Oryctolagus cuniculus: one gene and its partners. The protein of the gene in region 2 interacts with the protein of the main gene of each other region in a biochemical or structural test. Links are inferred from orthologs where the notes say so. Each region holds a gene or a part of one and is shown on either strand. Other genes may lie near its edges.

Region 1 (7,740 bases), on a different chromosome or scaffold from region 2:
GGGGCTCACCTGCCCCGGGCCCCTCTCGCCCTTCCGATGGCTCCCTTTCAGCCTCCTCTGCCTGGTGCCCCATGTGTCGCTCACCTCTCTCTTTACAGGGCTTCCAAGCCCGGGCCTCGTTCCCTCATCCTGGGCATGCAGGGGCGTTCACATCCGCACCGTCGCTACCCCTGTATCTCTACTCACTCCCAGCCTCCCCAGAGCCTCGGGTCCGGCCGGCCAGCGCCCATGTTTCCGCCTGGAGGCCCCAGAGGTGCCTCAAAGTCAACCCCAACTAATGTCATCTGTCTTCTTCCTCATCCTGGTTCTCTCTCCCGAGTCCCCTGCCCCAGTAGGTATTCTCACCAAGTTGTCCCTCTCCCAAGTTCTCCCGTCTGCACCCCCACTCCACTCCCCTGCGCCTCATTATCAATCCCTTGCTTTGGCTCATGCCCTGACCGCACCTGCATTCCTTTAAACCTTCTAATGTCACTCTACCTCCTTCCAGAATGGTCTCTGAAATGTAGATCTGGCCATGCCCCGCCCCCTTCCTGTCCCACTGACTGTGAAAGACCAGTGGCTGGCACTGTTGCACAGCAGGTAAAGCCGCCACCTGCAGTGCTGGCATCCTGTATGGGCACCGGTTCAAGACCCTGCTGCTCCACTTCCGGTGCAGCTCTCTGCTGTGGTCTGGGAAGGCAGCAGAAGATGCCCGAGGCCTTGGGCCCCTGGGAGACCTGGAAGAAGCTCCTGGCTTCAAATTGGTGCTGCTCTGGCCATTGCAGCCATCTGGGGAGTGAACCAGCGGATGGAAGACCTCTCTCTCTCTTTCTATCTCTATGTGTAACTGTGACTTTCAAGTAAAATAAATCTTAAAAAAAAAAAAAAAAAAAAAAAAGCCTAAGAAGAGTGAGTGAGGCCTGGGCCCTGCCTGTGCCCCAAGGACGCAGGAGCGGCTGCAGAGCCACCTGTGGAGTTATGCGAGGCTCCATCTGCCTCTCCTGAGATCCGGGCCTGCACAGGTCCTCTCGTGGCCACTGCCTACCTTGGACCACAGACTTGCCACGTTCAAGTGAGAGATGCCAGGGAGGCCACGTGCGTCTCTGAAGCACACCCAGAAAACTGACTTGCTGGCTCCCACTGGGGGAACGCCCCAGTGCGCTCTGCCCACTGCCCGCTTGCCGCCGTGACGGGCTCCCAACAGTCTCCCTGCGCCCACTCTGGCCCGCTCCAAGCCTTCTCTGCACTGCATCTTTTTAAAACGCAAATCTGACCAAGTCACTTCTCCATCGGCTTTCCACTGCCCACGACATAAAGACCACCCTCCTAACAGGCTCAGGGCCCCGCCCTTGCCAATCACTGCTTCAGCTGTGCCCGCTCCTGCAGCTCTCGGTCTCCAGGTGGTTCACTTCCTTCCAGGTCTCCACCCTGCTGTTTCCCTGCCTGATCAGGGACTGCAGCCTGGCTACGTCTCAGCGGGGAGACCATCCCGGGCCGCAGGAGCACTCAGATTCCAAGTGTCCTGTGCTCTTCCTTGCTTTTATATTTATTATTCAACCAGGTCATCTCTCCCTACAGACTGCAAACTTCCTGAGAGCAAGAAGAGTGCCTGCTGGGCACAACGCCGTATCCCCAGTAGCCACCGCCTGGCCACAGCAAGTACTTGTAACTCGCCAGTGCCCGGGCAGGCATCGGACGTCGCACATTGGGATGCCTGGGTTCCAGTCCTGGCTCTGCTCTGATTCCAGCTTCCTGCCAGTGCACATCCTGGGAAGCACCTGGGTCCCTCGCACACACACGGGAGACCCAGATTGGAGCGCACAGCTCCTGGCTTCAGCCTGAAACAGCCCTGGCTGCTGTGGGTATTTAGGGAGTAAGCCAGCAGATGAGACGTTTTGGTCTCTTTTAAATAAAAAAGTTAAAAAAAAAATTTTGAAAAATCTAGTGCCTGAACAAGTAGGTTACTCAGTAGGATAATTGTACATACACGCTATAAAACAACTAAATATGCAAATCCACACAGGAAGGCAACGCCAGAACTGTTCTGGGTTAACAGGTCAATATTTGTTTTAGACCCATTTGCCCTTCTAACTGCCTGCACATACTACGTGTTAAAGAACGGGCTTGGCCGGCACCGTGGCTCACTTGGCTAATCCTCCGCCTGCAGTGCTGGCATCCCATATGGGCGCTGGGTTCTAGTCCCGGTCGGGGCGCCAGATTCTGTCCCGGTTGCCCCTCTTCCAGGCAAGCTCTCTGCTGTGGCCCGGGAGGGCAGTGGAGGATGGCCCAAGTGCTTGGGCCCTGCACCTGCATGGGAGACCAGGAGGAAGCACCTGGCTCCTGGCTTCAGATCGGCGTAGCGCGCTGGCCATAGCAACCATTTGGGGGAGTGAACCAACAGAAGGAAGGGAGACCTTTCTCTCTGCCTCTTTCCCTCACTAACTCTGTCAAATAAAAAAAAAATAAAATAAAATAAAAAAGGAACGGGCTTCATGAAAACGAGTAGGAAGTATTTACCAAACCAGGAAGTTTCTCCCTCATGTGCTTGAGAAGGGGCCATTCTGGTTTATCTCAGTAGCCAAAGCCCGGGGCCTGGCGCTGTAGACCACACAGCAGGGCAGCCTGAGCACGCGGCCACGGAGGTCGCCGAGTGGGACTCACAAGAGACAGTGACTTTTTTCTCTGTCACGTGTCCACGAACACCCAGGGACACGCACACAGCCGACACACCCGGCTTCCACGGCTCGCACGCACCTGTTCAGACCCGGCCGACGGCCCGGAGCACCTACCTGCAGGCCGCGCTGGGGACCCCTCCTGCTCGGGGGCAGGTGTGACAGCAGAGGCTGCAACGCCCTCCGGCACGGGCTCAACCGCAGGCACTGGCAGGGGCGCTGGGACGTCTCTGGGAGGCGACGAGGCTGAGGGGATGGTCGGGGGGTGCTCCTCTTCCTCTTCCTCTTCCTCAGAGGACTCAGATGACGAAGACGACGACGAGGACGACGAGGACGACGACGAGGTGGAGGAGGAGCTGGAGGAACTGCTGCTCTCCGAGTCCGACGTGCTACCATTTTCACCATCTGAGTCGGCATACAGAGAACATTTGGAGGACGAATCGCTTTCCTCGTCCTCGCCTGGAAATCCAGAAGGGGCAATCAGGCGAGATGAGAAGACCCTCGACCGGGTCAAGCCGTGAGTTCATTCCCGGACCCCTCACTGGCAATGCTGGGCACGTAAACGGTCAGTTGACAACGCGACAGCCATGGGGACGATGGCGGAGGGAAGCCCCGGGCTGTGTCTCAAGGAGCAAGTGAGGGATGACATCCGAGAGGATGCCGAAGGCAGGGACAGGGAGCAGGGAGAGGGCGGAGGCTGGGGGCCGCGCAAGGCGTCTGCTCTGGCCCCCAGCGGGTGTCAGGGACAGTGGATAACAGGCTCCCTGCAGGAGGACCCGGGGTGAAATGAGCCTGGAAAACGGGACCTGCCTGAGGCCTCTGGGAGACGGGCCACATACGGCAAGGGCTTGGAGAAGTCTCGGGAAGGTAAGTGGGCACATCAGAACGGAAGCTGGAGGCGGGGCATGGGGGGCACTGGAGAATGCCGAGACGCAGCCCAGCAGAGAAGCAGGGGCCGCATTACCGCAGCCCCGGTGTCGGGCTGCCAAGCTACCCCGTGGCCAGCGATGGAGCCCAGAGAGAGACCTCAGGGTCAGGCACACACTGCAGGTAAGAGAATTCAAGAACTCTGGAGGCGGTTTGGAAACGGGACTGGGGAGGAGGTGGAAGAGTAGAAACGGAGACAGGGCAGTCAAGACGGCTGCCCGAGTCCAAGGCAACAGGGCAGGACGAAAGCGCAAACCGAATCAAGAAGCACTCAGAAGTTCAAACGCCTGCGACCTGGTGGTCAAGTGGACGTGTAGGGTCTGCAGCCGGCATCCTTAGGAAAGCCGGGCCCCTAAATGACCGGTGAGGGAGGCCCTCGGATCGGCGCTCTACCCACCGCGCCCGGCTGAGGCAGCTCCTCTCCCAGGCCCCCACTCGAGCGCTCTCTACCGCATCGATCTAGTTTATCCTCTTCAAAGCACAAATCTGTCTGAAGGGGCACGGCGGGCCCACTTGCTTGTCAAGCCTACTCCTGTGCAACCAGCTCTGCCACAGCAGGAAGCACACTGTCCTGGTCACTGCTACGTCACCTCCAACGCCACCGGCACACAGGCGGGGCTCAGCGCAGAATTAAAACCAAGTCCCCAAGACCTCAAGGGACGTGGGGCAACACACAGGTGCTCCACCGAGGTGCCTGGTGATGGCAGCCGAGGGGGCTGGGCCAGAAGGAGGAGGAAGTGGCAGAGCGGGAAGGTACAGGCCGGACACATCCGGGCACCAGGAGGAGCCGGGCCCCTATCTCGGGCCTGGGGAAAGGCACAGGCTCTGCTGGGCGGTCCTCAGAGAGCCGTGTCTCAGGAAGAGGTGACCAGAGGAGCGCGGCAAGGACGGGGGTGTCTGTTCCCAAGGGCCCAAGGGTTCAGAGGGCGAACGGGAGCCACACAGGAAGGCAGTGAGGGCCGGGAAAGGGGTGGCCAGGTGGCTGAATCCCGTCCTCCCCACGCCAGATCCTAGCCAACGGCGCTCACCATCTGACACCTCTGTCTCCTTCTTAGCGGTATCCATAGCTTCCTCTCGCTCTTCGTCTTCTTCGTCTTCCTCCTCGTCCTCCTCATCCTTACGAGAAAGAACAGGGACTCAGGAAGGGGACAACTGTCCTCCAGGAGGCACAGGCCAGAGAGAAGCTGGCTACAAGGACGAGGACTCGGCAAATGGGCCTCTGGCAGGGCCTGGGAGGCCCTGGGCCTCACCTTCTCCGAGGAGGACTCCTGGGACGCCTCCTCCCCTTCGCTGTCCAGCGCAAAGGACTTGCGATGCTTGCCCTGGGTCTTGCCGCGTTCTTCCTCTCGCTTTGGGGGCTTGGTCCCCGCACGTCCTGGCTCTCCAGCTTCCTTCTCCCGCTCAGGATCTGGGCCAGGGGAGGGGTGAGCAGGGCACTCTGCCCTCCACGGGGGCTGCCCTTCCCCTCCCTCCCCTACGCAAGGAGAGGTACACACGCACCACCACTGAGCTTCCTGACCTCACTCTGCGGACAAGCTGACGTGCAATAGAGCAACACGAACACCTCAGTCACCTAACATCTTAAACTCCCCAACAGGTCCCACCCACTCTGTCTCTTGTCCTTGTCTGGGCCCGGTGGAAGAGGGAGCTCTCTTGCTATGGCTGGTCCGAGGAGAAAGTGCTAAGGCCAACGGATCTACCGGGAAGCAGATCTGACTCAACAAGGAAGTGCCTCAGCCCCGCAGACCGTCAACCAGCAGCACGGGCTTAGCAACCAGAAGGCAGGTGCAGAACCTGAGCCTCAGACAGCAACTTGGGGGGGGGGGGGCATGTTTAACCCTGACGCTCTGGGAGTTGACGCACTGAAACTGCTATTTCTATTCTGCAGGTGGAAAAACTGAGAACAGAAAACCCCAGACACGGCACACTCCACTCCATCAAGAAGCCCTTCCAACGCTGCTCCAACGTGGCGGCTCCAACGCCTGAGCCAGCCCTCCCCTCGGCTGGACCCCTGCCTCGGGCCTCCCTGGCAGAATCCAAGCAGCCCCGCCCACTCACCATCTTCATCCTCCTCAGCCGGAGTGGAGGGCCGAGGCCGCTTTTCCTCACTGGCCTCGGAAATTTCGGATGGTTCTTTCCGCTTCACCTGGGGAGGGGAAAGGAATGGACCCATCAGGAACTCCGAACAGACACAGCTCCCCCACACCCCTCCCCAGAGGGGGGCCCCTCGCCCTGCACCCCACTCAGCGAGACCACGGAACCGGTACCTTGAACGAAGGCAGCCGCAGGGCCCCGCGCAGCCCCGAGCCGAAGGCGAAGGCCTCAATGCCTGTGGCTCCCCCACTCTTGGCCCAGTCCACGAGTGACAGCAGGCCCGGCTCTTTGAGCTTCGTCTTCTCTTTATCCTCCTCCTTGGCTTGCTGTTTGGCCGCGTTCTGGAAGGGCTGTGGGCAGCAGAGGGACTGAGCCCCGGGCCCAGGCATGCCCCCCGCCCGAGGACTGCTGAGACCCCACGGGTACAGGAACGGCCCTCCCTGCTCCACGGTCTGACGGGGATGGGTCACACACCGCGACAGCATGTCCTCAGAAGCCTGCTCACTTGACTCACCAACCTCACACCCACTTCACAGATGGCAAAAGCCAAGACTGACGCCCAGAGAAACCCAAGGGCTCGTCCACCACAAGCAAGCAGCGCAGCCGGGACAGAGCTCTCCCGACCTCTGGCCTGCGGCCGCCTGCTGCCCAATCGACCCGAGGCCTCGCTCTGCACGTGCCTTCATCTACTCTCATTTGTTCTGTGCGGCATAGGCTGGAGGCGCCTCAAGTCTACCTCCTCCCCGGAGCCCGGGGCCCGGGGCCCAGGAACCAGCCCTCACCTTGGCCTTCTCCTCCTTGCTCTCCCACCACTGGTCGAAGGCCCCGAAGGCCACATTCTCCACCATCTTGCGGTTGAGATCTCGCTGCATGATGCTCTTCATCTCCTGGACCAGGGTGGCCAGCACGCGCCCCACAGTGCCCGCCGACTGCAGGGCCTTGCCCTCCGCCAGCTCGGCTTCCTCCCTGGGAGGCAGCCGGGCCTCTGCTCCCGAGACCGAGGAGGGCAGGGGCTCGGCTGTCATGGGCAAAGGCAGGTGGTAGGGATCCCGTGAGTACGCCCCACGGCCTTCCTGGCCTTGTGTATAGAGCGCGTAGGGCAAGCCGTAGGCTGCCTCTTGGTGGGGTGGGAACGGGAGGAAGGCCTCCCCAAAGGCCCCTCCGGGGGGACCAGCCGAGGCGGCAGTCAGCCCCTTGCCCTGCCGCAGCTGGTGGAGCCGAGTCAGCATCTGGGTCTGCATCTGGAAGGACATGGGCATCCCTCCCCACTGAGCCCCAAGTCGATCCATGAGCTCCAGGGAGTTGACAAAGTCATAGATGTGGGGCGGGGGAGGCGGGGGCGGGGGGTACTCGGGGGGTGGCCCATCAGGCCGGGGCGGGAGGAGGTAGGCAGGCTGGTGAGGATAACCAAGGGGAAGGGACGCCAGGTAGGGGGGCGGCGGCGGCGGGGGCGGGGGCGGAGGTGGAGGCTGCTGGGGCGGTGTCGGGGCTGGGGGGGGCGAGCCACCCCTGTCATCATCGGAGATCTCCATGTCCTCTCCGGAAGAGCACGGAGAAGCCTGCGGAGGGGGCGGAGGGGGGGGTGTCACAGAGAGCTGCCGCCTGTCCCTGTCCCCACGGCCAGCCCTGCCTCCCGGCCCCCACGCGCCTCTTCCGGCAGAGCCCAGACGTCTGTCTCACCTGGTTTTGTCCGTTGGCCTTGGGAGACTCCCGGGGAGCCCCAGGGTCCCCGGCCCCTGCAGGTGCCACGTCCTCAAAGTTAGCCGGGGCCGGAGGGGGTGTGCAGGGCCCGTGGCCCGACCCGGAAGGCACCTCACTGCCCGGGTCTCGCTCAGGCCCCGCGCTGTTCTCTTCCTCCTCCTCCGTGTCGGAGGCCAGGAAAGAGAACTTGGAGCGCTGCTCCTTCAGCAGCATCTCGATGCGGGAGTCCAGGCTGCTGTGCTGCGCGAAGGGCACGCTCTCGTTCGTGGTCTCCGGGGCTGGGGAGCCGGAGCGGGCCGGGGAGGCCGGGCGAGGGGAAGTCCGAGCTTCTTCACCTTCGGGGCTGGGTCCCCCGCCGCCCCCACCT
Region 2 (6,618 bases):
CCGCCGGGGCCGCACGGGGCCCAGGCCAGATCCCCCGGGGGTCTTCTAGGTCCCCGGGCGGGGGTCTTCTCCTCCCCACACCAGCCCAGGGCTCCGACAGCCCAGACGCCCCCTGGCCACCCGAGGACGCCGCCGGCGGGGCGCCCGGGGTACAGGTGTGCGGGAGACACCAGCCCCGCCCCGGCCCCCCAGGGGCTTCTGCCCGGGACCCCGGCCGAAGGTGTGGGCGGGGCTTCGGCCGCGGACGCCGACCCCCTGGGCGTGGGGGTCGTCAGGACACAAGTCCAGGCCCCCGGGGGCGAGGAGACCCCGGCCCCTGGGACGCCAGCGCACGGGGGAGGGGGTCATGGATACAGGTTCCTGGCCTGACTTGGGGGGGCGGGACCCTGCGCCCCCCTCCCCAGAGGTCCGGACCCACCGTACGGCTGGGGAGCCTGGCCAGCGGCTCCAGGGCGCCCGGGCCCCTCGCGCCCAGCCCACCGGGGACCAGGATCTTGCGGGGGCCGGAGTGTGGGGTGGGCGAGGCCCCAGGTCCGCACCTGGCGGGGGGGGTCCTGTGAGCCCAGCCCCAGCCCGGGAGGCCCAAGGGCAGGGGGCTCCTGGCCGCAGCCACCGGCTGTGAGTGACAGGGCAGGGAACAGGGGCAGAGCCAGGACCCCCGGCCCGGCCCCGCCTCGGCGCCCGCAGGTGCAGCGTTCGGCGCGTATACAGTCGGCGCTCAGGGCTGCGGGGCCGTCGGACGCACGCGCCATCCAGCGAGGGCGCCACCACCGCCGCGGGGAGCCCAAGGGCCACGCGCGGACACTGCACCCGGATCCGAGGGCGCCACGACCCACGCAGGCCGCGCGGGCTCTCGGCCCGCGGAGCGCGACCACGCAGCCACACGACCGCGCAGAGCATGCGCAGACCCTGAGCGCCCCGCGGCCCCAACGCCCCGAGCACCCACAGTTCCAAGCGCAGAGCCGCGTCCGGAAGTCCGTGGGCGGATCTTCCGAACTTCGTTCTCTGATTCGAAACCAGCCACATCCACTTCCGCCGAGGGTGCGGGGCGCTTCCGTCCGCCGGCGAGGCGCGTCGCGTCGCCGCAGGAAGCGCGCCCTCCCTGTTTTGTTTCCGGGGGACTCGGCCTCGCGGAAGGACGCCCGGGACTTCCGGTTGTTCCATTCAGCCTCTGATTGGCTAGTTTTATGAATATATTAAAACACAAACGCAGGTCTGTTTTGTTCTTATTACGCTCGAGTGAATAAAAGTCTCCGGAGGAACAGCGGTTTTTTTTCGTCTTTTCCTCAGTACTTCGCAAATATGAGCTGTGTAGGCTGAGTGAAAGTCACCGTCGCCGTAAAGTGAGTGGATTTTTGGGCTTTAAATACTTTGTGGACGGATTGAGAGCCGTGTTGTATGAAAGGAGAGAAGGTTAGCACTCCCCTTGACAAGGATGGAAGAGGCCCTCGGGCCTTACAACACACATACGGTTAAGGCATTGCCACCTACTTCGTGGCATCTAACCACTGTTTTTTATTACTGCCCACGCCCACGCCACGGGCACAGCCGACCCCACCCCGCTCCGCCGGCCCCGCGGCCCCTTCCTGGTCCCAGGGTCCCTGAAAGGGGACCGAGAGAGGAGGGGGCGGCCGGCCCGCGCCCGCAGGGTGGGGGTCTCTGCAGGAGACAGGAGGGGCAGGCCCCGGAAGCAGGGGTGGGGGCGCTGAGGTGTCCCCCGGCCCACTGTGGAGAGCGGAGTAGGCGCCCTCGGGCCGCTCGGGCCCCGACACCCACGCAGGACCTCGGCTGCAGACCCTGGAGGAGCCTGCTAGGGGCCTGGGGTTTGGCCGTGGCCTGACGTCAGCACCACCCACGTTGAAGGCCAGGAGCGTGGACGGACACGCACGTGCCCAGGCCTGGAGCCAGCCCACGCTCCGCAGAGCGGCGCGGAACCGCGGCCTGCCCTGGGCCTCCGCGCCCCAGGACCCCGGCTGTGTCTGGGTGCCACCCTCCCCCACGACCCCGGGGCTCCCTGCTCGGTCCGCCCCCCAGCAGACGGGGTCCCTCAGGGCCCTGCATTGTGGGCGCTTCCAGGCCCACCAGCTGCGGGGGGCGGGGGGCTCCCCGGCAACACGGGAGACACGGGCGCGGAGTGGGGCGGGCCCTGGCCACGTGGCGCTTGTGGCCCCGCGGGGACAGTGACCAGGCGCCCATGTCCATCTCCGGCTCCGGCCTGCCAGCGCTTGGGGCGAGCAGAGCGCATGGGTTCTCTCCGCCCCTCGGATTGTTCTAGAAACCGAAACCTGGTGGCCACACCGCGGCGCTCGGCTTCCTGCAGGGGTCCCTCCGGCTGCGGGGGCGCACCTCGGCCCGCCCACTCCCGCTGTCCATCATCAGCCGAGGTCTCCGCACACCAAGGACGTCCGGCGGGGCCGGGCCGGCAGGCGGAGGACGAAGCCGCAGGGCTGCTGCCCCCGACACCCCCAAGGGGACCCACGCGGGCCTGAGCACTGGGTGCAAGCCCCCCCCCCCGTGTCTGCCTAACTCTGCCTTCCAGGAAACAACCTCAAAAAGGAAAGAAGAATTCTTGTAGGACGAAATTACAAGACATGAAAATCTTTAATTTCAAAAAGAAATGTATTTTTACATAAATCTACAACAGAGAATTCAAATGTAGAAAAAATAAACTATATCCGGGACACGGCCACTCACAGCCCCCGAGGGAGCCGCGGCCACCAGAGCCGGAGTCCGGGTCCCGGGGACGCCCCGGCGCTGCGCCCAGCCCCCGCACCCACCTCTCCCGGCGCAGTCCCAGGCCCGGCAGCGGGGGCGGCCCCACTGCCTCTGCGGCCCCGCCCTGGGCGGCCCCCACCCACAGGAGCCGCGAGCTGCCTGGGCTGCAGCACGGCCTGGGGAGGGGTCCCGGGCGGTGCCCTGCGACACCGGAGCCCAGGAGCAGCGCGGGCCCGCGTCCTCGGGGAGACCCTTCGACTCCCGCCCCCGCCCCGCGCCGGCCGCGTCCCCAGGGAGCCCTCAAGGCCGCCCACGCCCAGGCCGGGCGCGGCTGCCCCAGGGGACGGAGCCCGGGGACGGAGCCCGGGGACGGAGCCCCAGGACGGAGCCCCAGGACGGAGCCCGGGGACGGAGCCCGGGGACGGAGCCCGGGACGGAGCCCCAGGACGGAGCCCCAGGACGGAGCCCCAGGACGGAGCCCCAGGACGGAGCGCGGGACGGAGCGGGGCGGCGGGAGTGGTCGCAGCAGGGGCGCTGGGCAACGAAAAACCAAGAAAGGTGCAGCACGTTTACGCAAAGACACAACTCACGAAACTGGACGTCACCCTCGAGACACACGAGAACTTTGTTGGCGCCGCGCGGGCACAGCGCGCGGGGGCGCCCCGCCCCGCCCCGGGTGGCCACGCCCGGCCACGCCCCGCCCCGGGTGGCCACGCCCCGGCCACGCCCCCTAGCAGTCGCTCTTCCACAGCTTGATGGTCTTGTCGTTCTCCAGCGCCGCCGAGGCGATGATGTTCTCGGTCGGGTGGCAGGCCGTGGAGATGACCACGTCTGCGGGCAAGGACGCGCTGTGGCCCGCGCTGGGGGCCCGCCCGCCCCGCTCCCCGCTCCCGGGGCCGGCCTTGCCCACCACGCCCCCCTCCCCGCGTGCCCAGGGCCCAGGGCCAGCCTCGCCCCTTGCCCGTGCCCAGGCTCCGGGCAGGGACGCCGACCCCGCCCCCGACCCCAGAGGAGCGCGGCCGCCTCGCAGCCCGGGACGTCCCAGGGCCCTGGCCCGGGCAAGGGTCGGGGTCTGCGGCGCCCCGGGGGCGCGAGGGGACCTGCACAAAGCCCGCCTCCGCCGGGCCGCGCCTCACCTGTGTGGCCCTGCAGCTTCTGCACGATCTCTTTCGTCTGCAGGTTCCAGATGTACACCAGGTTGTCCTCCGAGCCGGACACGATCCACTGGAGGGGAGCACACGCGTGCAGGTCAGAGCTCACGCGTGCAGAGGCCCCGCCCCGGCCCCCACACTCAGGATGCATGCAAGAACTTCCCGACTGTGCCACTTGGCAGTGTGGGCGCACACGCGTGTGCACGGGCCCTGTTAGGAGCGGGACACTAGACGGAGAAGCCCCGCCCCCGCAGCCAAGCTGCAGGCGCCCGGGCCACGCCCCCAGCCCGCCCCACCCACACCACCACTCTCAGGCAGGCTGGAGGTCCTCGGGCCACGCCCCCCAGGCCCGCCCCGCCCCACCCCCAGGCAGGGACGGCGCCCCAAGCCCACCCTGCCCACAGGGCCATATTCAGCCAGACTGGAGGCACCCGGGCACGCCCACGGGCCCGCTTGGCGCCTGCACCCAGCCGGGCAAACCCAGGAGGCCCAGGGCAGCCTGCAGCGAGCCGCACTGACCTTGCCGCCAGTCACGGAGAAGTTGGCAAATATACAGTATTTCTCGTTCTTGTGTCCCGTGTAGGTCTTCAGGCACTGGAAAGGGGGGGCCGGCTGAGCCCTTCCCGCCCCTACCGGCTCAGCCGCCCCCGGACCTGCCCCTCCCCCCAGACCCCCACCTCCGGCTCAGCCAACCCCAGACACCACCCCCCTCAGCCGCCCCCAGACACCCCCCCCAGCCGCCCCAGACCAGCCCCTCCCGGCTCAGCGGCCCCCAGACCCGCCCCTCACCTTCCCCTTGCTGTAGTCCCAGAGCTTCAGCGTGCTGCAAGGCATAGATGGGTGAGGGGCGTCAGCGGTCCCCACCGGAGCCGGGAGGGCGCGCACCGCACCCCTGCCCCACCCAGCCAGCGCCAGCCCCGTGGGACGCTGCGTGCGGGAACATCCACAGGACTTCTCCAGCTGCCCTGCCCCCCCAGGAACCCTGACCTCGGAGGGGAGCAGGGGGCCACCAGGGGGCCGGGCTGGCCTGGCAGGTGCCCACCCAGAGGCTCCAGGTGCTGCTCCACGGAGGCCGGCGGCTGCTGGGGGCTGCCACTAAGCGCCCCGCGGCAGCGCGCGGTGCACCGGGGAGGCGCCCGCAGCAGCACTCACTTGTCCAGGGTGGCGGCCAGGATGTATTTGCCGTTCGGAGAGAACTTCACAAAGGACACCGGGGGGTTGTCGTCATCTGCGGCACAGACGGGCAGGCTGACCCGGCACCCCGTCCCCCAGGCACACACGTGCGGCCAGCACCACCCTGGAGCCCTCGCCCACGCCCGTCCCAGCGGTGAGGGTTGCCACCAGGCCCCGGCACGCCCCCAGCTCGGGACAAGGCTGGCGGTGCCGCTGGCAGAGGCCGAGGTCTCCGTCACCCCCAGGCTGGCCCTGCAGGCGCTGACCTGGGCCCGAGAGCCTCACCAGGGCGCCGGCACTGCAGCTACAGGGGCCACCGCTCCCACACACGGCAACACCAAGGCCAGGGTCCAGGACGTGACTGTGCCGGCCTCCTCACCAGGGGACACAGGGAGGTGCGCCCCGGGCCAGTGTCAGGCCAGCCGCTCCCTGGCCCCGGGTGCCCCTGGGCTGGCAGGGTCCCTGGGGTGTGCGCCGGTGTGGCGTGGTGTCCCCAGCACCAGGGAGGACCCGGCACCCAGCGTTACCCCCAGGGGCTCGGCGGGGCCTCCGCTCCTGTGGGCTGCTCACACACACTGCAAAGGGACGTGGGGGGTGAGGCCACGCAGCCGCCAGCCGAGCCGGTCACGTCGGCTACCGTGAACCAGCGCCCGCCGCCTCTGACCCGTACTGCCCGACCCAGAGAAGTCGAGCGCTCGTCCGCCGGGCCTGGGAGAGCAGACGAAGGCCACCGGCCTCTCCTCCCTGCCTCGTGCCTGCGGCTTGGGCCGTGCTAACCGTCCGCTGGGTCCAAGTCCTGGCCCAGCACCCACTTGCTGTGTTTGCTGTGTGGCCCTGGTTACTCAGCATCTCTGCACCCGGCCTGGGGACAGGCACGAGGACGGGTGCCACCACGGGGCCACGCACGTTCCTCAGACCAGGCCCGGACGCTGGCTCTGCTGCGGGCAGCAGCCGGCAGGTCTGAGCCCAGTGCAGGAGGCCCGGAGGCCGGAGCAGCCGTCCCGGGCGAGGCCCGACAGGCCCAGCGCCGCACGCTGGCCCCTGCAGGAGCTGACCTGCCATCAGGAGGGGCTGCCAGCCACAGCCGGCAGTGCTGAGGGGCAGGTCTGGACGGAGCTGGGGCAGGTCAGGACGGAGCTGGGGCAGCCGCGGGACTCACCGATGAGCGTCTTCAGGCACTGGCCCGAGGCGGTGTCCCAGATGCGACTTCAGAGCAGGGGAGAGCAGCGAGGACAGGGAGTCACCAGCGGTCAGCGCCGGCACACCGCCCCGCCCCGCCCCGCCCCGCGCTGCTCCCCAGGGAGGACCCCTCCCCGCAGCCGGCACCGAGGAGGAAGGTGGGGGCGCCCCCTGCAGGTAGGCAGTGAGGACACGGGGTGCCGGCCCCTGCGGCCTGGGCAGGTGCAACCCGCACCCCCACCTGTGTCCCTGCACGTCCTCTCCCAGCGCCCCACGGCCTGGGCTCTGACCTCTGCCCTCTGCCCTCTGCCTGCCACAGGGGCGGGCCCTGCATGCGTCCGGGTCTCTGCACCCTCTTCTGCCCCCAGACTTGTCCCTCGGGGGTACAGATTACAACCCA
Region 3 (7,505 bases), on a different chromosome or scaffold from region 2:
ACGCCACCAAGTGCGGCAACTTTGCGCGCTTCATTAACCACAGCTGCAATGTGAGTACCGGCCAGGGCCAGCGCTGCCCCCGCCTCTGTGAGGAGGACCCGGGAGCCCCCGGCAGGGGAGCCGGCTTGGCCTCCTTCCCAAGTGCAGGTCATGTTCATGGGGAGGTAGGGATGTGAGGCCCTGTGCGAGGAGCCTTGTTCAACTCCGAGCTTCTGTCTTCTCATCTGTAAAATGGGCACAGTGAGGCTTTTGTTGCTGTGTGAAGCACTAATGGTGCTCAGGAAATGTTGCTTCAGCCGTGGGCTCCCCCCAGTGCCTCCTTGGGCGGGGCTTGGAGAGAGCTCAGGCTCTCGGCACAGCCTCCCCCGGGGACTCCCTGCAGTGGGCTCCATGTCTCTGTGTTGTCCACTGAGGAAGACTGGCCACACATAGGATCGAGCCCTTGAAATGTGGCCAGTACAACTGAGGGACTGAGTCTTGAGTGAATTGAAGCTTAGATTAAATTTTTTTAAAAGATTATTTGACAGAGTTACAGAGAGAGAGAGGGAGAGACAGAGAGGTCTTGCCTCCGCTGGTTCACTCCCCAAATGGGTGCAATGGCCCAAGCTGGGCCGATCCGAAGCCAGGAGCCAAGAGCTTCTTCTGGGTTTCCCACATGGGTGCAGGGCCGTCTCCACTGCCTTCCCAGGCCATTAGCAGGGAGCTGGATTGGAAGAGGAGCAGCCGGGGCACAAACCGGTGCCCATACGGGATGCCAGTGCCGCAGGCAGAGGCTTAGCCTACTACGCCCCAGTGCTGGCCCTGAACCAGGTGGTGCAGGGCTGGAGAGGAGGGGGCGCTGCCCGCGGGATTCCTGTGCTGAGGGAGACCCGGCGCCACAGGCAGCTGGTGCCAGCAGAGGAGCCCTGACTCGGGCCAGGCTTCGGCATCCTTGCTGTAGGACAGTTACCATCACTGCGCCTCAGTTTCCCCATCGGTGAAGCAGAGGCAATGGCAGCCGTCCCGTCAGAGGTTGTGGAGTTCCGCGTGAAGGTCCTTGGTGTGTGCTCACACGGCCAGCCCCGTACGCGTCCTCGCTCTCACAGCTGTGACTTGGTCATTGTGCCTTAGGGACCAGAAGAGACTCTTCCTGGGAGTCTGTGAGATCTGAGAGACAAAGAGTGGGAAGTGGGGCAGGTGTTCTGGTCGGGGAGTGGTATGTTCAAAGGCCTGGGGGCAGGGCTGGAGCAGCTGTTTGAGGGGCAGCATGTGGAGGTGGTGGGTATGAAGTTAGGGGCTGAGAAGACGAGGCAGGCAGGTTGGATGGGGCCAGGGTGCTGACAACATTGGAAGGCTTGGAGCCGTAGGGTGGCTCTCGGGAGAGCTTCCCCTGGCTGCTGGGCTAGGAGTGGGGCTGCTGCCATCCAGGGGAGCAATGATGGGGGCCCCGTAGACGGACTCAAGAGTTCCCTTAGAAGCTCGAACGTCCCAGACACGGTGGGGCTGGAGCTGGCACTGCAGGAGGAGGGGAGGTGGCTGCTCAAGGGCCCAGGCGCCCGGTGTGGCCTCTGGCCCAAGCAGGAGCGGGTCACAAATTCAGGTTCGAGCTTCTTGAGTCAACGCCACCTCCCAGAGCAGCTGAAGGCAGGTGCCAAGCGGGTTCCTGGAGTCATGGGTCTGGGACAGGAGCCACATTGCTCCGGGTCAGAATTTTTGACTTTGTGGCCCAGGTCATGTCTGCAGCAGCTGCCTAACTGCGGCGGGAACAGCGGCAGCCACAGGTGACACGCAGGGAACGGGTGAAAGGGGGTGGCTGTGTGCCAATAAAACTTTGTTCAGAAAATCAGGCAGCTGGGGGCATGGCTGGTAGCACCCTTGTCTCAAGCTCAGAAGAGAGGGCCTGGCTGGCAATACAAATTGCAGAGTCACCTGCAGTAGGAAGGGAAAGGGGGACCCTGTGGCCGGAAGTCAGGCCCCGAGCAGAGGTGCGGTTGGGTCGGGGGGGGCTGGGGCTCACCCTCCTCCTCCTCTCCTGCCGCAGCCCAACTGCTACGCCAAGGTGATCACGGTGGAGTCGCAGAAGAAGATCGTCATCTACTCGAAGCAACACATCAGCGTCAACGAGGAGATCACCTACGATTACAAGTTCCCTATCGAGGACGTCAAGATCCCCTGCCTGTGCGGCTCTGAGAACTGCAGGGGGACCCTCAACTAGCCCCGCCCGGCGCCCACATGTCGGCCGGGGCCGGCCCCAGCTCCCGCCTCATTTCAGGTGCTGTCCCTCTCCCCCTGTGGCCCCGCCAGGGCCCGGCGCCCCAACACTACCCCAGGACACCCCCCGCAGCTCCAGCCTCTCCGCGGGAAAGGGCTTCTCTGTCCGTCAGCCCACGTCTCTTCGTTTCCAGAATTGCTCCTCTGAGGATCGTCCTTGGCCATGAACTTCTGTCTCTGTGTCTGACTCCCACACCCAGTCCCTCCTCTCCGGCTTTCTCCATCTTTTTTCTGTCTGTACCCTCGGCTCCTTCCCGTGAATGCTGCTACGTTGTTTTTGTCTTCTCTTTATTTTCGTCCTCGTCGTAAGAAAAGACATTTTAACCGTTGAAATGTGAAGGCAGAATCAGAGCGGGGCCTCGGTTCCACGACTGAGGTGCTGGCCAGGTGCTGCGGGCAGGGGCCGCCAGCGGCTGTGACCTCAGAACACTACGTACCTGCCAGGCCCCCTCTGCCCGCCACGCAGCGAGGAGCCCCCCAGCCTTCTCCACCCACTCCCCAGTCTCTTCCCCGAGCTGCTGGAGGAGCCATCCAGTCCCAGGCAGGAGTGCGCCGTGGGCTCCCTGCTCCCCACCCCCCAACCTTGGGTTCAATGTTTACTTTTTCATTCGGATGCCAGCAGCGAGGGAGCCCCCGGGGACCCCAGACTGGGTGTGGGGGCTGGGAGGGGCTGGTGAGCTGCCCGTGCCCGCCCCACCACTGCAGCGTGGCGCGTTCGCGTGGAGAAGCTCCACGCCCCCCGCCCAGCGTCGACCCTGCCAGGCCAAAGCATATTTATTTGCTGAGTGAGCAGCTTATTCCTCCCAGAGAAAGCAGAATCTTGGAGAGAAGATTTGAAAACTCAGATCCAAGTCTTTGACAGTTTTTTCCCTTTTGACCCCTTCCATCCTCTTCAGGGTTTATATCCATGGATTTTTGTTTCTTATGCGTGTGTAAAATCCAGACGAAGGGGGACACGATGGGTTTGGCAGTTCAGCAGCAGCCCCTGTACATAGACTGCCGCGAAGGACTCCGGGGCACGTTGTTTCTTGTGGAAACAGATGGGGGGCTTAGGCCTCACTGCTTCGTACTTCCGGGAAAAACCACGACAGGCGCACGAGCGCGAGCCCCCCCGGCCCCGGCGAGCAGCGCAGGCGTGTACATAGTCTCTGGAACGTGACTGGTGACCGGCGGCTCCAGGACGAGAGGCCCCGCGGCGCGGCTCCCACCCGTGGACAGACGCGAGGCCTCTGCTATCTCAGCTTGTGTCAAGCTTGTATCATGTAAATTCTGTACAAAGAATTGTTATTTTTCTCTCTTTTTTTTTGTCGTTGGTGGTTTTGTTTTTTTGTTTTTGTTTTTTTTTCCAGTTCACCCCAGACCCTCTCGGGTTGGAGACCGAGCCCGCCGGTTTCAAGGCGAGGAAGTCGGTGGCATTAGGATGCGACAGGGTGTGGGGTCCCTGGGCACCACGGCAACCTTCTCTTCCACGTGCGGTTCTTTGCCTTGTTGTGCAACTGAGGAAATATTTATTTTTCACACAAGGAAATGTGTAGTTGGCAGAGACTTCATTCTCACCCCTCCCCTCCCCCCAGGAAAGAAAGAAGTGGGGGGAGGTGAGGAAACCAGGGGAGGGGCTGGCCTCGCCCCACCACACTGGGGCCACTGTTAACTTCCCCAAGGGCCAGGGGCTGGGCCCCCTCCCCGGAACCCCGCCCCTACCCTGGAATGGTTTGCAATAATCTAGAAGAGTGTTGGCTCATTTTTCTTTCAACTCCTTTGTTTGCATTGAACAAATCTCTGCTTTTGAAGGTTAGGGGTTTCTGCTGTGCCCCCCGCTCTCTGCGAAGAAGAGAAGAGATGAAATCTAGGGGTGTTCGTGTGTACACTCTGTCACCTGTATGTAACTTGTTTTGAAGAGAAGTGTTTCCGTTGTGGGTGTGTGTTGCTGTAAATATTTGTTCATATTTTTGTGAATTCAATACTATGTACCATTGTATTATAGTAACTTTTATAAAGCAAACCATAAATACACTGACTTTTCTTACAGATACGCCATCTCTCTCGCTCTCCTCTCTCTGCCTGTCCTCCTCGTTCTCTCTCTCTGCGGGGAGCACTCCCCGGCCAGGCTCTGCGCAGCAGTGTGTGGCGTGGTCCACTGGGTGGGTTCTGTGAAGTGGGCCACATCACGGTCAGACGGCCTTCCATAGCCTAAAACTTTAAGGTGTCACCGCCTGCCCTTGAGATCCGATCAAGCATTCTGTGGCCATCATCAGAAGAACCCACAAAGAGTGTGTGCTCAAAACACCTGACACCCACAGGGCCAGGGTGACAGGTCCTGTGCCTGTGGCACTCCAGAGGTGCTGGGCGGAGAGGGCAGGGGCACTGTCCAGGGAGTCTCAGAAGGAGACTCCAAGACTGCAGACAGCACCCGGACTGGGAAGACCCCGCGCCTCCCTTCTCACTAAAGAGATGCCAATGACAGAGGGACACCATTTCCCCATCAAGGCGGCAAATGCGAGTTTGGAAATAGCCAGTGTTGGCCGGGCCGGCAGACAGGGCGTGCCATTAGCAGGAGCCCACTTTGCTGCGGGCTGCGGGAGCCCTGCGATGGGGACCATGGGGACAGAAGATGCTCATACCCTTGGCCCAAATATTCTGTCAAGAACCAAGCCTGACGGACACAGGACTGTCGCAGCGTGCTCTGGCGATGGTGACGTGAAGCCGGGGTGCGCTTCACTGGGGTGGGCTGGCGGGAGGGAAGGGAGATCTCCCCTAACTCACTCATTTGCCCAGTACCACCCAAGCACCCACCGTGTGCCAGTCTCGCAGGCCCTGGGGAAGCATCCTGAGCTGAATGGCTTGAAGAATGGAGGTGGGAAGAAGAGAGAGCTAAGAGAAGGGGTGTCCATTGTGGGGGCAGGTGTGGGGGGTCGGCTGCAGTGGTGGGGAAGAGGCCGTCCAGGAGAGGGAACAGGGAGGGCAAAGGCCTGCAGGCAGGAGCCCACCTCAAGTATTAGAAACAGCCGGATGGCAGGTGTGGCTGCCGCCGACCAAGGGCGAAAGGTGCTGAGTGAGCGCTTGGGTGAGGCCGGCAATGGAGGCCTCGCAGGGCAGCACGAGGGGGCCACACCCACACATTCCATCTTCTCCCTGGAACTTGGCTCCTGACGGATCTTCCATCTCTGTCAGTGGCATCTCTGCCTCCCACCTCCACCCACCACTCCCTGCTGCCACCTAAACTCAAGACCCCCAGCGACCCTGGACTCCTGCCCCCCACCCCATCCTGCCAAACCTGATGGTGCCTCCTTGTTGCCCCGCCTCTCCCTCTCCCCCTGCCCTTCTCTTCATTGGTTCTGCCAAGGAGGGGAGCACAGGGGGAGCGCCGATTGGAGATAGATGCGTTCCCGGCAGCCTCTCTGTGCCAGCCGCTATTTTAAACATCCGACCCTCGAGCCATAAGAGAGGGATAGTCCCATTGCACAGATGCAGAAACAGGCACAGAGAGGTCAAGACGCTTGCCCAAGTTCACACAGCAAGCAGCTGATCTGGGGTGTGAACCTGTCCTCAGCTAACGGGGACCTCCCCCCAGGCCCCACCTGCACAGGCCTCCCACTCAGCATCCAGCATTTGAGGCTAACTAGAGGCCTGATCGTGCCAAGAACCAGAATCCTAGACTTGCATTTGAAACAGCTCAGCTTGCCGAAAAGTCGGCTCAAATGTGTTTGAAGAAGCCTCGCAGGCAAGCGAACCATCGTCTGCGAGCCGGTTCTGGCCCAGCAGCCCCCCATCTGCAACCTCAGGGCAACAGAATTCCCCTGCTTTGCACCAGCTGTGCAGAAGCGAGGGTGCTTTTGCCCGAAGCTGGGGCCTGATCCTCTGGGATCTCTCGGGTGTTCTTTTCGTTTTTGAAGTTTCTGATCCCTGAAGATCCAATTTCTTCTACCATCTGAAAAAAAATAGGATAAATTCCCCATTTCCCCCTAGGACACCCACCCACGTGGTTTCCTTGCACTGCGATCCCAGTGGACTCCCGGGAGCACAGGGAGAGGCCAGGAACGCACCTCCTCCTCCCCTGCCTGCTTTTAGAGGAAAGTCCCCGAGCTCCAAGGGCTGGGGACCAGAGGCGGCAGACGGGGGTCGGACCCCCGCACCCGCGCGCCCTGCACCCGGGTGGTCGCGGGGCAAGGCTTGCGCCCCCAGCTCCTCGGCTCCCGCTCGCTCAGCGGTCTGCGCGCCGCCGCATGGCACATCTGGGGACAGGCCGCCTGCCCAGACCACGAAGCCCAGCTCCGTCGCCGCTCCCGGCTCTTGCACCTGCCCCTCTGCCCCCGGATTTCCCGCGGCGGGCTCCCCGGTGCCACCCCTCAGGGGTGCCTCTTTTCGCTCGAGAGGAGCCCCTCCCCTCTCCACCGCCACGTGATCCCGGCACCGGCTTTATAGCACTCGCCTCTCCACGAAACCGCGACGGAAGCCCAGCCCTCCCTAGCTCCGGAACGCCCCCGGCATCCGCGCGCCGGCCCATTGCGGCTGCGCGTCCCGACCCCGCGCGCGGGCGCCGCCGCTCCAGACTCCCCCTGGCGGCGAAGAGGAGCTACTGCGCCTCAGCATCCACACGCCGGTTGGACTGGGGCGAGCTTTACTCAGGAGGACACGTGGTCACGAGGTGGGCGTGGCTCGGGGTGTGGCTAGTGGGGACTGACGCGCCGGGCCCGGGAGGGGAGCGTGTTCCGAGGCGGGGGCGTGGCCGCGCGCCGGCGAGTGGGCGGAGCCTCTGTAGGTCGGCGGGAGTGGGCGGGGCCTACATGCCGGGCACCACCCCGTTGGTCTCCATGTCGGTGAGGTTGCCTCTCAGATTCTGCTCCTCTTCGAAGGCTTTGAACAGGGAGTTGAAGTTGCCGGCTCCGAAGCCCTACCGCGGGAGACAGAGGGTGAGCTGCGGACCCAGTTGAGGACAATGCTGCTTTGCGTGCCCCCTGGGGCGTGCGGGGCACACGCACCTGGTGGTTGTGGCGCTGGATGACCTCCAAGAAGAGCGTGGGCCGGTCTTGCATGGGCTTGGTGAAGATCTGCAGGAGGTAGCCTTTCTCGTCGTAGTCCACCAGGATTTTCAGCTCCTAGGCGGGACCCAGAGGCTCGCTGACCCTCTCTGTTGGCTGGACCTCGGCGGGTCCGTAGAAGGCCCGCAGGGGGTCCCTGCACCCCCCCAGGCCCGGAAAAGACCCCTTCCTCCAGCAGCGCCAGCCACGTCCACAGAGGGCCTCAGGTGGCCTGTC
Region 4 (7,740 bases), on a different chromosome or scaffold from region 2:
GGTGTCATGTGCTTTAGGTTAATTTATCAAGCCATATCCGCTGGTCCACTCTGTTAAAAGTTTGAATCCCAATGGGTTCAGAAAGGGTGGTTATGTTATCTCTTAGGTCAAGCTTCATAGAGTGAGCTCAAAGTTTTAAGAGAACTAAACACCAATGCTTACCCTTCTACTATGTCAGAGAAATTATCCAACACTCGATGTTCTGCTGCAATGGCTTTATCATCTGGCCGGCCAGCCTTTTCTAGGAAGCATAAGGCTGGATCTGCCCTCATAGTATTGTATTTCTCATAGCCTAGAAGAAAAAGAACCAAAAGTAGAAGGAAATCAGATTCATTTTGCCTGTATGCTTATGTAGATGCTGGAATAATTGGAATATGTGTGTTACTTTGCTCTTAATCCAAAATATAGGTAAAATGTTAATGGGGGTAGCTGTTGGGTTGTATTATTATAATTGACATTTTATAGCAATTTAGAATCATGAAGACTTTAAATTAGTGATTGCTGGTATGAATTTAATCAAAGAGGGGCACACATCTGGCACACTAGTTAAGATGTTGCTTGGAAAGCCCTTATTCTATATCAGAGTTCCTTGTTACAAGTCCCAGCTCTACTTCCAATTCCAGCTTCCTGCTAATAAGGTATACCCTGGGAGGTAGCAGGTGATGGTTCAACTACTTGGGTCTCTGCCACCCATGTGGAAGACCTGGATTGAGTTCCAGGCTCGTGGCTTTGGCCTGGCCTAATTCCAGCTATTGTGGGCAGTAGGGGAATTAACCAGCAGATGCAAAATCTTTCTCTCTGCCCTTCAAATAAATAAAAATACATAAACTAAAGGAATTTTTAAATGGTATTTAGTCAAAGAATTTTTATATTATGGTGATAGATTTACATAACCACATAACTGGTAATCTTTCATCATTAATATACAGAAGGATAAATAAAGCTAAATAATTTAATGATAGGTCACACATTCTCAAGTGAAGAATAAGAAACTTAGGTTTTTATATAAATAGGTATTCAGTGAATATTTGATGAACACACTCAAGGATAACTAGACTCTACCTGTGTTTCACAAGTAAATCTCAGACTACAAATGCTCATAGTTTTTCTTATCTCATTAAACTTCTCACAAATATGTAGATTAAGTGTGATTACTTTTATTTTATTTAACAGAAAACTATTTTTAGAAAAAGAAAAGGTTTCCATTCATGAACTCACTGTGCTGGAAATTAGTACTCAATGCTTTTAGTGCCTGCGATTTGTTAGTAGACAAAACTGAGTATATTGTGATCTTATACTCTATTTTTGTTTTAACTCAAAAACTGCTGCTCGGCCGGCGCCGCGGCTCACTAGGCTAATCCTCCGCCTTGCGGCACCAGCACACCGGCGCCGGATTCTGTCCCGATTGCCCCTCTTCCAGGCCAGCTCTCTGCTGTGGCCAGGGAGTGCAGTGGAGGATGGCCCAAGTGCTTGGGCCCTGCACCCCATGGGAGACCAGGATAAGTACCTGGCTCCTGCCATCGGATCAGCGGCGGCCATTGGAGGGTGAACCAACGGCAAAGGAAGACCTTTCTCTCTCTCTCTCTCTCTCTCTCTCACTGACCACTCTGCCTGTCAAAAAAAAACAAAAACAAAAACAAAAAAAAACTGCTGCTCACACCTACATTAGACTGAATGTTGAACATTTAGACAACTGGGCCACTTAGATAAGTAGAACACTTTTCAACAAGCTACAGGAAAGTCATACAAATTAAGTCTGGTCATTACTAACAGGAATGGGCATATATTACTTCCCCTGATTTGTGGAACCTCAACATAGCATCACAACATACAGTGGGGTATCATACTGTTGATCGTGATTATAGAACCAATGGGAGGCTCCCCGCCTTAACTATCCATCTGGCCTTTCTTGAACATTTATTTATAGCATCTAACTGCTCTGCTCCTATTCAAACATAATTTATAGAACATCAGTCAGAGGACTCATTGTTCTTGAGTTTTTTTGCTAAATGTTTCATCTGTGGACATAAATCTTAAATAGGAAAGAAATTAGACTAGGGGAAGATACCTACCATGCTTAAAGACTCCAATGAGGAGGGATTTATCAGCCTCACTGTCCCACCATGTTGTTGGAACTTCCAGCTGATCCACTACCGGGAACCATATGTCAATCTCACTAAAGATACAGGAGGGCAGAGTCAGCAAAGCAATGCAGAAATTAAAGTGATAATTCTCAGAAAGATTAATATAGCTATTTTCCTTAATCCATTAATTCAAATGATCAGTATTTCCTACCACTAGAGTCAAATATAGGATTAAAGACCTGATGTATAGAGATTTAAACTAACAGGTATCCCAAGGAAAATACAGAATGAAATAAGCAAATCAACCTTTCTTGGAATTAGGCAGAACATAAAGAAAAATACAGAAAAACTATACCTGGCAATGGCACCCCCTAACACCTTCTCTGCTTGGTCTCCAATAACCTCTTGCCTCAGGTAGTATAGCATTCGTACCCTCAACAGTACCCTAGGAGAAGGGAAGGAGAAAGATAGCTCATTATCAGTGCACAAAGTCTGAGCTGGGAAATTTCTTCACGAAATTCAGTTCTTACTTGTTACACTGATGTTTCAAGTGCTTCTTGTAACTCTCATCTTGGAACAAAGTGTCAGGGTTATACTTTCGGATCCAGTCTGCCTTATGGATATCAAAAGTACTTTGTGACTTTACTTTTTTCCCTTTGCGTCCACGGGGCACAGGGATAGATAGACCTGGGAAAGGGGAGACATCAAAGACTTGGATTGAGAAAAACCCTTGGATCTGAAAAGGGACTAGATAACCGACAAAAAGATGAAAAGTAAAGAGTTGGTAATTACCTGAATGATTTTGCAATTCTTTGGTTTTGCCATTCTCAGCGGGGCTAATCAAGTCCCAAATGAAGCCTTTGATATTTTCATCCCCACGGTAGTGTAGAAGACAGTAGACAAGGATGGCCCGGCAAATTGTCTCCACATCTCGTTCAGTCATACGTCGCTTAAAGCGTCCATGAGACAAAATATCTCGCCATCGTCCCCAACTAAACAGAAAATAAAACTATATTAATATTTTTCTGGAAATGCTAATTCAGCAATATTCCCCTACCTGCAAGAATTACATCTTCCAAAAGGTAAGAGATTAAAAGATCTTGAACAACACAGTAAAGGAGTAACAGGAGTAAACTCCCTCCACAGCAAAAATCTGATTGTCCCCTCTTTGGTCATAGCCTCCAATTTGAAAGACAAGCAGGGTGTCAGTCAGGATGGAGATATAGCACCTCTCATGGTAAGCTGAGTTCGTACCCATATACCAGCAGGTGTTTTTCCACCCGAAAGCAGTCAGTGCGCCCATAGGCATGATGCCGGTCATGTCTTCGGGAGCGTGGCCGCTCATCATCCTCACTTTCCAAATCAGAGAACTCTACTAGGTCGTCATCTTTCAGCGTGCTAAAGTGGCGGGTCTGTTTTCGTACTCTAGGTGTGTCAATCACCAAATTGTTCTGTGCAGACAGAAGAAACTCTCTTCATTATATGCTCATAAGAAAATAATTAAAGACAATTAAGGTTTGAAATAGCCTGGTATGTAACATATGCAGATATCCAAAGAGATATTTCAAGGACATGTAAAATAATCTTCAAGAAGCAAAAGTAAGTGGTAGATTTCTAAGTACTTTTCTGAGGCCTCCTGGGTTAGAATGTTTCCAGACCAGCCCTTCTGTATAATATGCCATCTAAACAACAAAGCAACAAAGAATCCTGAAAAGTTTTGTGTCTTCTGAGGTATTTCTTCCCTAAAGGAAGACTTAAGCTCACCTTGCTATTCAGCAGATCCATGTCTAGGTCAGCCTTTTTGGCCCACTTTTGCCAAAAGTTGGGGTCATCCAGAGAAATGTCTGTTCTATTTTCAGAAGCAACAAAGCTTGCCTAGTGAGGAAAAAAATTGAAAGTTTTGTTTATTTGAAAGGCAGGTAGAGAGAGAAAGAGAAGAAAAAAAATATCGCCTATCTGCTGATTCACTCCCCGTACACCCACAACAGCCAGGAGCTCAATCCAGGTCTCCTATATGGGTGGCAGGGAACCAAATGCTCAAGCCATAGCAAGCTGCCTCCCAGGGTACACAATAGCAGGAAGCTAATCCAAAGCAGAGCTGGGACACAAATCCAGGCCATCTGATATGGGAGGTGCCACTGCACCTTAGGGCTGGCACTGTGGTATAGCAGGTAAAGCCACTGTCTTCAGTGCTGGCATCCCATATGGGAGCTGGTTCAAGACCTGGCTGCTCCACTTCTGATCCAGCTCTCTGCTATGGCCTGGGAAAGCAGTACAAGATGGCCCAAGTCCTTGAGTCCCTGCACCAATGTGGGAGACCCAGAGGAAACTCCTGGCTCCTGGCTTCAGATTGGAGCAGCTCTGGTTGCTGCGGCTTACTAGGGAATGGACTAATGGATGGAAGAACTCCCCCTCCCCCCAGCCTCGCCTCTCTCTGTCAAATAAATAAATAAATATTTTATTTATTTTTTTTTTATTTTTATTTTTTTAAATTTTTTGACAGGCAGAGTGGACAGTGAGAGAGAGAGACAGAGAGAAAGGTCTTCCTTTGCCGTTGGTTCACCCTCCAATGGCCGCCGCGGCCGGCGCACCGCACTGATCCGATGGCAGGAGCCAGGAGCCAGGTGCTTTTCCTGGTCTCCCATGGGGTGCAGGGCCCAAGCACCTGGGCCATCCTCCACTGCACTCCCTGGCCACTGCAGAGAGCTGGCCTGGAAGAGGGGCAACCGGGACAGAATCCGGCGCCCCAACCGGGACTAGAACCCGGTGTGCTGGCGCCACTAGGCGGAGGATTAGCCTAGTGAGCCGCGGCGCCGGCAATAAATAAATATTTAAAAAAAATAAATTAACCACTGCACCAAACATTTTCCCCGATAATTATATCTGTAAAATATATTTTAATCTTACAGATTCCTTTTTCTATCCCTGCTTTACCATTCTCTGGCACAGACAGATCATACCTTGGCAAAGGTAGAACCTTTTCCTTCAGATTCAATGGTGATAGTTGTAGTTCGTCTTAACAAGATTTGGTCAATGTCTTCTTCACAAAACTTGGAGCCCTCATCATCTTCTTCCATTATTGCTGCATATGCTCCTTTTCTTAAGAGATCTTCAATTTCCTTCTTGGAGAATTGTTGGATCTACAAAACCCAACAGAAAGATGAAAAAAGTACATGATAGTATTATCTTTTTTAAAAAAAGTTATTTATTTGAAAGTCAGAGTTACAGAAAGACAGAGATAGCCAGAGAGACAGAAAGATATCTTCCAGCTGGTTCACCCCCAGATGGCTGCTGGGCCTGGCAGAAATTCATCCTGGTTTCCCACATGGGTGGCAGGGGTCCAAACACCTGGTCCATCTTCTGCTGTTTTTCCCAGGGCATAGCAGAGAGTTGGATCAGAAGTGGAGCAGCAGGGACACAAACAGGCATCCATATGGGATGCTGGCATAGCAGGCAGTGGCTTTTATCCGCTGTACCACAAAACAGGCCCCATGCCTTCATCTTTGGGCCATTACATTATAAGAAATAATTGATAAAATTATTTGTAAATAACAAACTTAAAAAAGAATTCAGAATCTGAACAAGGTACTCAGATTCCTGTAAAGAAAAAAATATCTATTATCTCTATCACTAAGACTCATTATAAACTTATCTATGGACTAAGAAAACTCACTCCAGTAATGTTGCCATCCCGACCACTCATGGATTGAAGTACAGCCTTATCCAATCCCAACTTGAGGCTAGCCTTATCAAACATCTCTCTCTCATAGGAATTACGAGTGATGAGACGGTATACTTTTACAGCTTTGCTCTGTCCAATTCTATGACATCGTGCTTGGGCCTGGTTTAAAAAAAAAAAAACAACAAACAAACAGTGAAAGACAGGATAAAATTAGAGGGTTAAAAAATACAAAATACCAATTCAAAATGATTTTACATTTATAAAACAGCTATGTGATCAACTTAAAACCAAAGTCAATTTCTTTTTTCTTTTTTTTTTTTTTTTGACAGGCAGGGTGGACAGTGAGAGAGAGAGACAGAGAGAAGAGAGAAAGGTCTTCCTTTTTTTTTGCCATTGGTTCACCCTCCAATGGCCGCCACGGCCGGCGCACCGCGCTGATCCGATGGCAGGAGCCAGGTGCTTCTCCTGGTCTCCCATGGGGTGCAGGGCCCAAGCACCTGGGCCATCCTCCACTGCACTCCCGGGCCACAGCAGAGAGCTGGCCTGGAAGAGGGGCAACCGGGACAGAATCCGGCGCCCCGACCAGGACTAGAACCCGGTGTGCCGGCGCCGCAAGACGGAGGATTAGCCTAGTGAGCCGCGGCGCCGGCCCAAAGTCAATTTCAAGATAAAATTTTTATTCCATCTTGTACATGAGGGGTCAGCAAATTATACAGTCTGCATGGAGATCTGTTTCCATAAATAAAAGTCTACTAGAACAGTCTTACCTATTCATTAAATACTGTCTATGGCTGCTTTTCTGCTATAGAGGTAGAATCAAGTGGTTGCTAGAGTCCATATAGCCCACAAAGATACATCACTTATTAGCTGGCTATTCATAAAGTTTGCTGACCCCTGAATTAACTGCAACCCCTAACTAAGAAAATAATTCTGTACTCTCTGTAGGAGAGGTCTAAGAGATCCAGGTCTTGTTGAAAACTTCCCAAGTTAGGTAGTTAGTCCCAAAGACAATAATTTCCTTTACCTGGAGGTCATTTTGTGGATTCCAGTCTGAATCAAAAATGATGCATGTATCAGCAGCAGTAAGATTAATACCAAGTCCACCAGCACGGGTGCACAACAAGAAGACAAAGCGGTCTGAGTCAGGCTTGCTGAAGCGGTCAATAGCAGCCTGTCGGAGGTTGCCTCTAACCCTCCCATCAATACGTTCATATAAGTACCTGTATAGGAGGTCACATAAAAACCTTGTAAGTGGCTAAGCAGAGGAACAAATCAAGAAAGCAGGCTCGGATCAATATCCTTAGCTGGCCAAAAACCATGTAGCGGAATTGAAACTAAATGTATTACATACTTCTTTTATTACAACTGGCTAACTCTAAACCCAGGCCCTCCAACTCCTCATAGCTTTATGAGCATACAGTAATCATAAGACTAGAATGACTCTTTTCTCACCTTCTCTGGATTAGATAATCCTCTAAGATATCTAAGCAGCGTACCATCTGGGAGAAGATCAGCACTTTATGGCCACCAGCTTTAAGTTTTGGAAGTAGCTTGTCAATAAGAACCAACTTGCCAGCTGAACGAACCATGGCCTGCAGATGGAAGTCATGAGGTATAATATGGCAAGCTTCCCGAAATTCAGTTAGGATTTTTTCTTCTGCACCTGCCAAGAGAAAAATCAAAATTTTATATTGACATTCAGTGGAACATACTAAGGCTTATCTATTTTGGTGGCTTATTTAAGAGTACAAAGGAAAAAAGTTATCTGACTGGAGATAAAACTTTCTCACACATAGAATTTAAGCACCAAAGTTTCTAAATCATCTTCAGTTTTGTTATACAAAATATTCCAAGAACAGAAAACCTAAGTTCTCCTTCATGAAATTCTAAGCAGCAAATCCTATTTAATTTTGAAGATTATGTAGGATCAAAAGGATAGAATAAGAGAAAGACATTCCACCTAAGAACCTTTTT

The links.
Region 1: the proteins of WDR5 (region 2) and SETD1A form a complex in vitro, tested with the Homo sapiens proteins (4 studies listed by BioGRID, with this or other methods). The link is inferred for Oryctolagus cuniculus from reciprocal best matches to the Homo sapiens genes WDR5 and SETD1A.
Region 3: the proteins of WDR5 (region 2) and SETD1B interact in a test that uses a peptide from one of them, tested with the Homo sapiens proteins (3 studies listed by BioGRID, with this or other methods). The link is inferred for Oryctolagus cuniculus from reciprocal best matches to the Homo sapiens genes WDR5 and SETD1B.
Region 4: the proteins of WDR5 (region 2) and CHD8 form a complex in vitro, tested with the Homo sapiens proteins (2 studies listed by BioGRID). The link is inferred for Oryctolagus cuniculus from reciprocal best matches to the Homo sapiens genes WDR5 and CHD8.

What each region holds. Positions count from the first base shown.
Region 1 is NC_091450.1:6,180,690-6,188,429, forward strand, and holds part of SETD1A (histone-lysine N-methyltransferase SETD1A), read right to left. Parts: coding exon 7,353-7,740; intron 7,232-7,352; coding exon 6,455-7,231; intron 6,023-6,454; coding exon 5,846-6,022; intron 5,725-5,845; coding exon 5,637-5,724; intron 4,987-5,636; coding exon 4,829-4,986; intron 4,695-4,828; coding exon 4,607-4,694; intron 3,111-4,606; coding exon 2,769-3,110; intron 1-2,768. UniProt on the Homo sapiens protein: Histone methyltransferase that catalyzes methyl group transfer from S-adenosyl-L-methionine to the epsilon-amino group of 'Lys-4' of histone H3 (H3K4) via a non-processive mechanism.
Region 2 is NC_091432.1:235,838,023-235,844,640, reverse strand, and holds the end of WDR5 (WD repeat-containing protein 5), read right to left. Parts: intron 6,246-6,618; coding exon 6,199-6,245; intron 5,095-6,198; coding exon 5,019-5,094; intron 4,690-5,018; coding exon 4,656-4,689; intron 4,461-4,655; coding exon 4,386-4,460; intron 3,940-4,385; coding exon 3,852-3,939; intron 3,547-3,851; coding exon 3,446-3,546; 3' UTR 2,583-3,445; downstream 1-2,582.
Region 3 is NC_091452.1:7,203,719-7,211,223, reverse strand, and holds the end of SETD1B (histone-lysine N-methyltransferase SETD1B), read left to right. Parts: coding exon 1-50; intron 51-2,020; coding exon 2,021-2,194; 3' UTR 2,195-4,282; downstream 4,283-7,505. Other genes in the region: HPD (4-hydroxyphenylpyruvate dioxygenase), read right to left, coding at 6,918-7,141, 7,230-7,346. UniProt on the Homo sapiens protein: Histone methyltransferase that catalyzes methyl group transfer from S-adenosyl-L-methionine to the epsilon-amino group of 'Lys-4' of histone H3 (H3K4) via a non-processive mechanism.
Region 4 is NC_091443.1:53,535,676-53,543,415, reverse strand, and holds part of CHD8 (chromodomain-helicase-DNA-binding protein 8), read right to left. Parts: intron 7,430-7,740; coding exon 7,219-7,429; intron 6,987-7,218; coding exon 6,791-6,986; intron 5,926-6,790; coding exon 5,758-5,925; intron 5,225-5,757; coding exon 5,045-5,224; intron 3,960-5,044; coding exon 3,849-3,959; intron 3,536-3,848; coding exon 3,339-3,535; intron 3,077-3,338; coding exon 2,877-3,076; intron 2,796-2,876; coding exon 2,615-2,795; intron 2,530-2,614; coding exon 2,440-2,529; intron 2,177-2,439; coding exon 2,073-2,176; intron 293-2,072; coding exon 163-292; intron 1-162. UniProt on the Homo sapiens protein: ATP-dependent chromatin-remodeling factor, it slides nucleosomes along DNA; nucleosome sliding requires ATP. Acts as a transcription repressor by remodeling chromatin structure and recruiting histone H1 to target genes.